2 linked regions of the Cricetulus griseus genome follow. Each later gene encodes a partner of the first gene's protein in a complex. Links are inferred from orthologs where the notes say so. Each region holds a gene or a part of one and is shown on either strand. Other genes may lie near its edges.

The links.
Region 2: Ahi1 (region 1) and Tmem231 share a complex: the UniProt entries of both Homo sapiens proteins name them as parts of the tectonic-like complex. The link is inferred for Cricetulus griseus from reciprocal best matches to the Homo sapiens genes AHI1 and TMEM231.

The regions. Positions count from the first base shown.
Region 1 is NC_048595.1:268,869,093-268,873,342, reverse strand, and holds the start of Ahi1 (jouberin), read left to right. Parts: upstream 1-1,156; 5' UTR 1,157-1,331; intron 1,332-4,250. UniProt on the Homo sapiens protein: Involved in vesicle trafficking and required for ciliogenesis, formation of primary non-motile cilium, and recruitment of RAB8A to the basal body of primary cilium.
Region 2 is NC_048596.1:188,336,521-188,340,910, forward strand, and holds the start of Tmem231 (transmembrane protein 231), read right to left. Parts: upstream 2,875-4,390; 5' UTR 2,831-2,874; coding exon 2,692-2,830; intron 2,591-2,691; coding exon 2,421-2,590; intron 1-2,420. UniProt on the Homo sapiens protein: Transmembrane component of the tectonic-like complex, a complex localized at the transition zone of primary cilia and acting as a barrier that prevents diffusion of transmembrane proteins between the cilia and plasma membranes.

The sequences.
Region 1 (4,250 bases):
GAGGATGGTAGCATTAGTAGCTTCACATTAGTAAGGTTAGCCTGATAGTGGAGTGAAAGAAAATTAGTCAAAACTGGAGTCAGGACACAGGTAATGAGGCCAGTTCCCCATAAGATATACTGGCAGCTTGCCTTAGGCAATGGTAATGATGGATAAGCTATATACAGTGAGGACACTGAAAATATAGGTTTGGGGGAAAAAAATTAAGAAACCACCTAAGGGTTTCTTGCTAAAACACTGAAGAGATGGTGATAGCTTAAATCAAGATACTCAGAAGGGGAAAATTGAGATTTTTCAGTGGAAAACCCAGCAACTCAACGTTAGGCAGGCTTTAGATTAGTGATTTTTCCCCTGGTCTCCTCATTGCACTTTGAGAACCAAATGAGATGTTTTGTTAGGTATGATAATACCAGTGAGAATGGAAAAGCTGGCCACCAAACAAAAGCACGCACTACTGTCACCACACAAAGGACACAACAGGTTGTGTGGGAGGACAGCTGCAGAAAATGGCCTCTAATTCTAGTGGAGCGAATGCTGCACCTAGTATTTTTCCACTCCTGCTGTGACTCACAGCCAAAGATGGCGCCTCAAGAAGAATCGAGCAAAGGGGGAGGGGGGCGTTGGAAAACGTGACGTTCTTAATTCTTGTTTTCACCACAGTCAACAGCGCCAGCGGGATTGCAATCTCGTGGGGATCCTCATTCACGCTTAAAAGCACGATTCATTTTGTGGGCGCACGATGTAGGGGGTGACAAGTCTTCCTGGACTGCACTGCATTCATTCACCCATTCATTCATTCCTATTCATTCTTGTATGTTTTCTACGCTGGGCGCGGGCCCGTCAGCTTCCACCTCTGCTTCTCCCCACAGCGCTTCCAGTCCTGAGGCATGACGCTTCTCCCGAGGCGATGGCATATTGCCCTCGGAGAGAACGAGCACTCCTGACCCACTTCCGGCTCCACGGGCGGAACCTCGGGCTCCCGCGCGCGCCCGCGTCAGAGCGCGCGCACGCCGGACTCTCAAGAGCCCGCAGGCACGAGCAGCCGACAGCGCTCGGCTGCCGCCGGGGAGGGGGCGGGGCCTAGGTCCAGCCCGGAGCTTGGGCCTCCGGACCCAGTTACCTAGGCAACGGCAGCAGAGGCGAGCCTGACGTCAGCGGGCGGCGCGCAGCCCGCACTGCGGCACCAGGGCCCCTCTTCAAAGCGCGCGTCGCCAGCGGTTGAGGCTGCCGTGCCGGAGTCTCCGTCGGGCCGCCTAGCTGGGCGCGGGGAGCCGCTTCGCACTGCCGGGCTGTCGCTCGGGCGGGACAGGCCGCGCTGCGCGCTCCTCTCTGTGAGTACCCTGCGGGCGCGCTGTGTCGGGAGCCGGGGTGCGGGCGCTCGGCCCTGCCGGCCGGCCTCTCGGGGGCGGCGAGGGGGCTGCTGGAGGCCGGGAGCGCGGGGCAGCACTGCGCCATGCAGGTCGAGCTTGGCCTGCGCCCCGCGCGCGGCCGAGGATGCCGCTGCGAGCTACTTCTGCCTACTCTCCCGCTCTCCTGGTCCAGGCTGCCCAGCATGGTGCTCCGATGGAGGGGATGCAGCCTCTTCCTCTCTGCTCGCAGTGCGGGCTTAATTAAATGCCCCTCAAGTTGATGCGTACCGAGTCTATTTCCTTTTAGATGTCATCCTGGTACTAAAGGACGTGCTGTTCTCTTAATTACTTACATCTATGAAGAGTGATCGATGGGTCCTATATGGAAGAGTCAGGTTATATCGATAGGATCATTTCAGTCTGTGTAAACCTCCCCGGAACGGAGGCTACTTAAAAATCTACCAAATGCTTGCTCTGCCTTTATTGTCACTATAAAAACATCCCCCGAAATGTTCCCTCTCCGTTTTTTAAAGAAAAAGATGCTAACAGGCTTTTCACCTGTTGCATAAATGACTGCATGAGCTTTCAGGAGAAGATGTTTGTTATGAGGTGGATGGGGAATTTTTTTTTAAGGATATTTGAAACAAATTCAAATGCCAATAATTTTAACAGTATTTAGAATATTATTTATTTATGAGGATACCACTGACTTATTGGTTGAATTATGCTGCTTTTTTTCTTTGAAAATTTGTTACAGAGGAGGAAATCATCAAGTGCGTATGCTTTTTTTCTTGCCTTGATGTGTAGGCGTGTACTCCATGTTTTTCCAGAGCAGGGAGGGAATGTAATCCGGTTAATTTTTCTGCGTAGTCTCGCATAGGAGCTTCTGTAAAGCTTCTTCGGATGACGAAATCTTAAAATAATGGTATAATGATATCTAATATCGTGTATAATAATTTTGAAAATCAAAAAATTGTCCTATAAAATCATATATACAAAATTGGAGATGTTTTATTAAACCTAACCTTAAATTTTGGTGATGTTATTAAATATCAGTTATTCTGTTTTTCTGTAGTATACCTTAACATTAAAAGATGATTATTTCTGTACTGTATTTGCTGTGTTATCATTAAATATTAGTGTTTAAAAAAATTAGTGTTTATTCAGTTGTGCCTCAAAATATCAAACAATATTAGATTTATATAAATATATTAAATTAATCGTGTGTTTTCTTTTTTAATTATTTGCTAAATGGGCATAAAGCAAATTTACTGAGTACCTGCAATGTGTGATTTATTTTATTTTTATTTTATTTTGCAATTTTTTTCTCCTTTCAACAAGTAGGTGCCATTTTAAGATCTTAGACATTTTAAAAAAAATTTTTAAAAAAACCAAGGCCTAGTGAAATTAATACCTTATCCAAAGCCATTTATCAGTAAATAACAGGATGGTACTAGAATCATTGTTAATTGCTTCTTTTTCATTTTAAACTGAGGCACAGACCTGGCCCTCCAGAGGCTAGCTCTGTGTGTGTGTGTGTGTGTGTGTGTGTGTGTGTGTGTGTGTGTGTATGTGTGTGTGTGTGTGTGTTGGGGTGATGTCACAGAATATAGCATTTTACAAGGACGAAAGTTGAGGGTTTGAAATCAATGGATTGATGAAGAACAGAGTATCTTGTGGAGCTGGTATCGAATTCAGGATCTTGCAGATGCCTGGCAAGCATTCTACCATTGAGCTACATCCTCAGCTTCCCCTCCCCCACAACAAAGAAAAATTCCTTTCCAGATGTTTTTATCCTTCCAAGGTGTAAGAAAATTCTAGAATGAATTTATCTACATGCCTCTCTCACATATCACATTCTTTAAACCTGTGACTGTCAGCTTTCTGTAAAAAGCTATGGCACATGTGACTTCCTGATTATAAATCTATAGTAGGTAGGCATCCTTCAAAATTTACAGCATCTTTTGACAGCATACAGTATAGATTATTTTCTCTGTGTAACACTCCATTTTCTCATTTTTTGAAACCAGTCTCCTTGAATTGTTTTTATTTTGCAGGGTTCAAAGTTAACCCTTTTGGCATTTTATGTTACCGAAACCATTACATATAGGTGATGCCCAAATCTGCAGCCTCTACCTATTGGTTTAATACATTCTACTGCCTGCTAAACATAGTATTATGCTATTATTTTTATTAAACAATGTTATTACTGCTATATTTGTATATTTGAAAGCTTGCTATGTGACAAATATTGTACCAAGTGTTTTGCTTGTATATTCTTATTTACTGTTTATAAAATCTTACGAGTGATTTACTCTTAGTCCCTTGACAAATTAGGAAATTGAGGTCTACAGATATTAGTCTCTTGGAAGATGAAACTGGAATTTGAACCCAGGAGTCTGTTAACTAATTTGATTCTTGTAGTTGCTTAGTACTCCTTCGATGCCCAGTCAGTATGCCTCACACTAAGCTAAGTGCCCCATGAGAATTACCTATTATAAGTGTACCTATCATTTATTGGTACTTATTTAACTATAGTAAATCATATAATTATTAGAATTACCCATAGAACAATGAGTAAGCACTGTTTACAGGCAAAGTTTACAAATAAACAGATGCATGAATGTCTGATGTCACACAGGTAGCCATGGGAAACTAATTCTAAGAGTTGGGTTTAAAACTATTCTGTTATACTAATTGCATTATATTATAGCTAATACTGTTGTCCCGCTTATTCTAGTTCGAGAGACACAGAAGAAACCATCCTCAATTCTCCTGCTTCTTTACTAGTTATTTAATGTTTTCTAAAATATCAAAAAATTTCCATTGAAGAGCAATGGTATGATCAAAGGTCTGATTACACTGGCCTTTGTAGCCTCTTTCTTACAATTTGGTGTGGAT
Region 2 (4,390 bases), on another chromosome or scaffold:
TCACCAGTTCATGGCCAACCACAAAGCCCTGGGAGTGTTGCTTCGTGGGCAGAACACTTGCATAGCCATTTTGAGATCCTGGGTTGGCTCACCAGAACCACAGTAAGTAAGTAATAAAAACAGGCATGGTGGGCCCATGACTGCAATCTCAGCTGGGGGCAGGCACAGGAGCTCAAAGTCTTTAGGGTCATCCTCAGCTCCAAGCTACCCTGGGCTACATGCCACACAATCTCAAAATAACAAAGGGGGTATGTGTTTGTGTTGTGGGGGAAGAGAACTGGTCATTTAAAGAATAAAAGAGATCAGTGGTGTTATAAAAACCACATGATTTCCACAGCAAAACCTTTTACCTGTTACTTGATGAGTGTGTGTAGAAATGCTTTCCTAGGTGTTTGATAACATTTGTTTGGGTGTATCTCCATTTCTGTCTGGAGTATTCTCTACTGACACTCCATGAACAAAGCTGGAGCCTGAGTTCCCCTCTTCCTACCAACCCTCATCACATACATCCCTCTCTCAACCCTTCAATTGAGCTAGATTCATATTTCGGTCAGTCAGTATTCATTGTTGTAATCAGGACTTCGCCAGTCCTGTTCACAATGCCGACCGAATTTCCTGCTTTGCATTTTCTTGTGTTTTATTTCCCTGAAGTTAACAATTATTTTATTTGCTTGCTTCGTTTTCTTTGTGTGCATAAAATTTCAACGACATCTTCCATTGACATTTAAAGGTGTATGGTTTAAGTCTGGACAAGCGGTCATGCCTATAGCCCGCTTCTTAGAAGACTGAAGGGGGCTTATTGCTTCAGCCAGCTTGGGCAGGCAAGATAACAATAATCCATCTTGAAAAGAATGAAAAAGGCATAAGGCTTAGTCAAAAATTTGTTATTTAGATATTAATTCTAAGTTCTTTAATCCCAGCACTCAGAAGGCAGAGACAGGCAGATCTCTGTGAATTCGAGGCCAGCCTAGTCTAAGTGAGTTCCAGGACAGCCTCCAAAGCTCCAGAGAAACACTGTCTCAAAAAATAAAAAAATAAAAAAAGTCTAATAGTGAAAAAAATTAAATTGAGGCAAATTATTTAAAAAAAAAAAAAGGGTGGACAGTGAAATAGCTCAGCAGGTAAAGACCCTTGCAGCCAACCCTGAAAATCTGAGCTGGATTCCTGAGATGGTGGAAGGAGAAAACTGACTCCTCCGAGTTGTACTCTGACTTCACCTGCCAGGGCCATGGTTTTGTGAGACAGAATGAGCTTGTGCTTGCTGTGACAAAATACTTACCAACAAATAACTGGTTAAACTTATCATTCTGCCCATGTCATTAAATAATCTAAAGACTTTAAAAATAATAAGGTTGGTTAACAAGTACTGATACCTTTACTTTTCTGTCATCATGTATAAACCTGTACCTTTTTAATCTCACAATGAGTCTACAGGTTAGTGATCAGAGGGAACACACACACACACACACACACACACACACACACACACACACACACATTAAAGAGCAAAGTAATCTGGTTATATTTTGTGTATTGCTATTCACATGACCAACAAGACTTTAATATTTTAAAGCTCTTATTTAGCTGTTGGTGGAAAAGTCCGATTTTTTTCCCCCATCAGCTACACAAGTTTCCTTATAAGGCTAATAACCAGCCATATCTGAAAGGATTCACGTTTGAAAGGAAACTATTTTCAGAATACGAACGGAAAGGGATGCCTGTAAGGGAGCATTTGATTTACGTGAAAGTAAACACTAAACTGCAGGCAGTAAAATGCTTCAGCTTCATGGAGGACAGCTGCAAAGTGGAGCAGAGTGCGGTGAGCCTAACCCTGACAGGCATGGCTTGGCCAAAGCAGGAGCCGAAAACGCAACCAATCAGCGCTTGTCCCCGCCCCTATCCCCGCGTCCAGTCTGCATAAATCCGCTGGCACTTTCTGCCCTTACAGAAGTGGTGATGCTCAAACTCGGCTTTCAATTCCCTAAAGGGGCTTTCACTGCCTCCTTTCCATTCAGAAGTGACCACCACCAGAAACAGGCTGTGCTCTGGCATCTGGACTCTTGTTAGACAAACACCAACTACATGGCTGACTTTCTGGAGATATCTAGAAAGTTAAACATGCGCAGGCCAAAGACTGTGTTTCCAACCCCTGTAGCTCCTTGAGATCCAAGCAGTGAGGCTGGGAGTGTGGCTCAATGATAAAGTGCTCGCAGCGAAGCGCACAGCCCTGAAATCCCAACACTGGGAAGGTGGAGGCCGGAAAACCAGATGTTGAAGGCGGTCTTTGACTATATAGTTTAAGATCAGCTTGCGAGACTTGAGACCTCCCCCTTACTCCCCCCCCCCCGCCCCAATCCAACCTGGGATCCCTGGAACTCGCCCCCATCTTGTTCCCCAGAACCCCGGCGGGAACCACGCACCGACACGAGCGGGACTCGCAGGTGAACCCCCTGCAGCCGGTTGAAGGTGGGGAACGTGCTCCAGGCGAGGAAGGCTCCGGGCTCGGGCCCCAGTAGGGCCACGAGTAGCACCTGGTGCTGGAAGCGCACGCTAGGCTGCTCCTCGTAGCTGCTCCGCTTCAGCCAAAACCCTGCGGGAGACAAGGCGGGTTGGGGAGCCAGGTCAGGAAAGCCGGCCTGGGCCAGCGGGCCGCACCGAGCCATGTGGCTCTTCAAGCCCGGGCAGGCTCACCGTGGCTTCTGAAGGCCACTAGCAGAGGGGGGATGTAGGTGAGCACGGTGGCCAGCAGCAGGAAGAGCGCGGCCTTGGAGCAGAGCCCCGCGCGGTAGCCGCGCTCGGCCGGATGGGAGAAGAGCTGGTACAACGCCATGAGCGCAGGCCGCAGCGCCGAGTCTCCACGGCAACCCACAGCGGCCAGAGGAACCAATAACAAGTAAGCAGTCCTTTAGGAGGGGTGGGGCTAGCGGAAGGCTGTGCAGGATTAGATAGTAGATGCATTTTATGCGGTGCCTGAGGTCCCTTCAAGAAAACAACAAGAAAGAGCCCAGTACTTAGTTTGTTTTTGTTTTTCGAGACAGGGTTTCTCTGTGTAGCTTTGGAGCCTATCCTGGCACTCGCTCTGGAGACCAGGCTGGCCTCGAACTCACAAAGCTCTGCCTGCCTCTTGCTCCCGAGTGCTGGGATTAAAGGCCTGGGACACGACTGCCTGGCTGTATTCTCCAACGTTAGCATTTGCTGATCTATTATGTGAGTACTTACTACTACTATTATTTCAACATGGGAGAAAGTTGGTCTTTTGTTGTTGTTTTCAGTTTGTTTGTTTGTTTTTTTTGAGACAGGATTTCTCTGTGTAACCCTGGCTCTCCTGGAACCCTCTCTGTAGAGCAGGCTGGCTTCAAATTTGCAGAGATCCACCTGCCTCTGCCTCCCAAGTGCTAGGATTAAGGGTGTATGCCACCCTAACCCCCATCCCCCAACCCCTTAAAAAGATCTTAAAATCTTTTTAAGATTTTATTTATTTATTATGTATACAACATTTTGCTTCCATGTATATCTGCACACCAGAAGAGGGCACCAGATCTCATAATGGATGGTTGTGAGCCACCATGTGGTTGCTGGGAATTGAACTCATGACCTCTGGAAGAGCAGTCAGTGCTCTTAACCTCTGAGCCATCTCTCTAGCCCCTTGTTTATCCATTTTGAAATAGGGTTTTACTATGTAGCTTGGGCTGGCCTTCACTTCTCCTTCCTCCAGGTCTGATGCAGGAGCAATCAGGGCTCTTAACCATTGGGTCATCTCTCCAGCCCCCATCCCCCGGCTCCAAACATACATCTTAATTCTGGAAAGGCTGTCCTCTGACCTTCACATGCATGTCATGGTGCTTATCTGCATATGTAAATAAGTAAATAAATATAGTAAAACATGTAATAAGGAGCTGGAGAGAATGGCTGCTCTTTCACAGGATCCTTAAGTCCAGTCACAGGGGACCCAACAACCTCTCTGGGCACTGTATACACATGATACATACACATGCATACAGTCAAAACACCCATATGCATAAGATGAAAATAAAGGGACCAAGTGCTGGTGGCTCATGCTTTTAATCCCAGCACTCGGGAGGCAGAAGCAGGCAGAGCTCTGTGAGTTCAAGGTCAGCCTGGTCTACTGAGTGAGTTCCAGGACAGCCTCCAAAGCTACAGAGAAACCCTGTCTTGAAAAACCAATAATAAATAAATAAATAAATAGATAAATAAATACTGCACTAAAACAAGTGTTGTGCCCAAGTCTCAAAGATCCCCAAAGACCACCAGGGAGACAGACCCACTGAACTGTAAAAGCAAGGTTTTATTATTTATCCAACCATGAAAAGGACCCTGTCTGACTAGCTGATGCAACAGCCTCAAGAGGAAGCGAAGTTCCCTATCTACT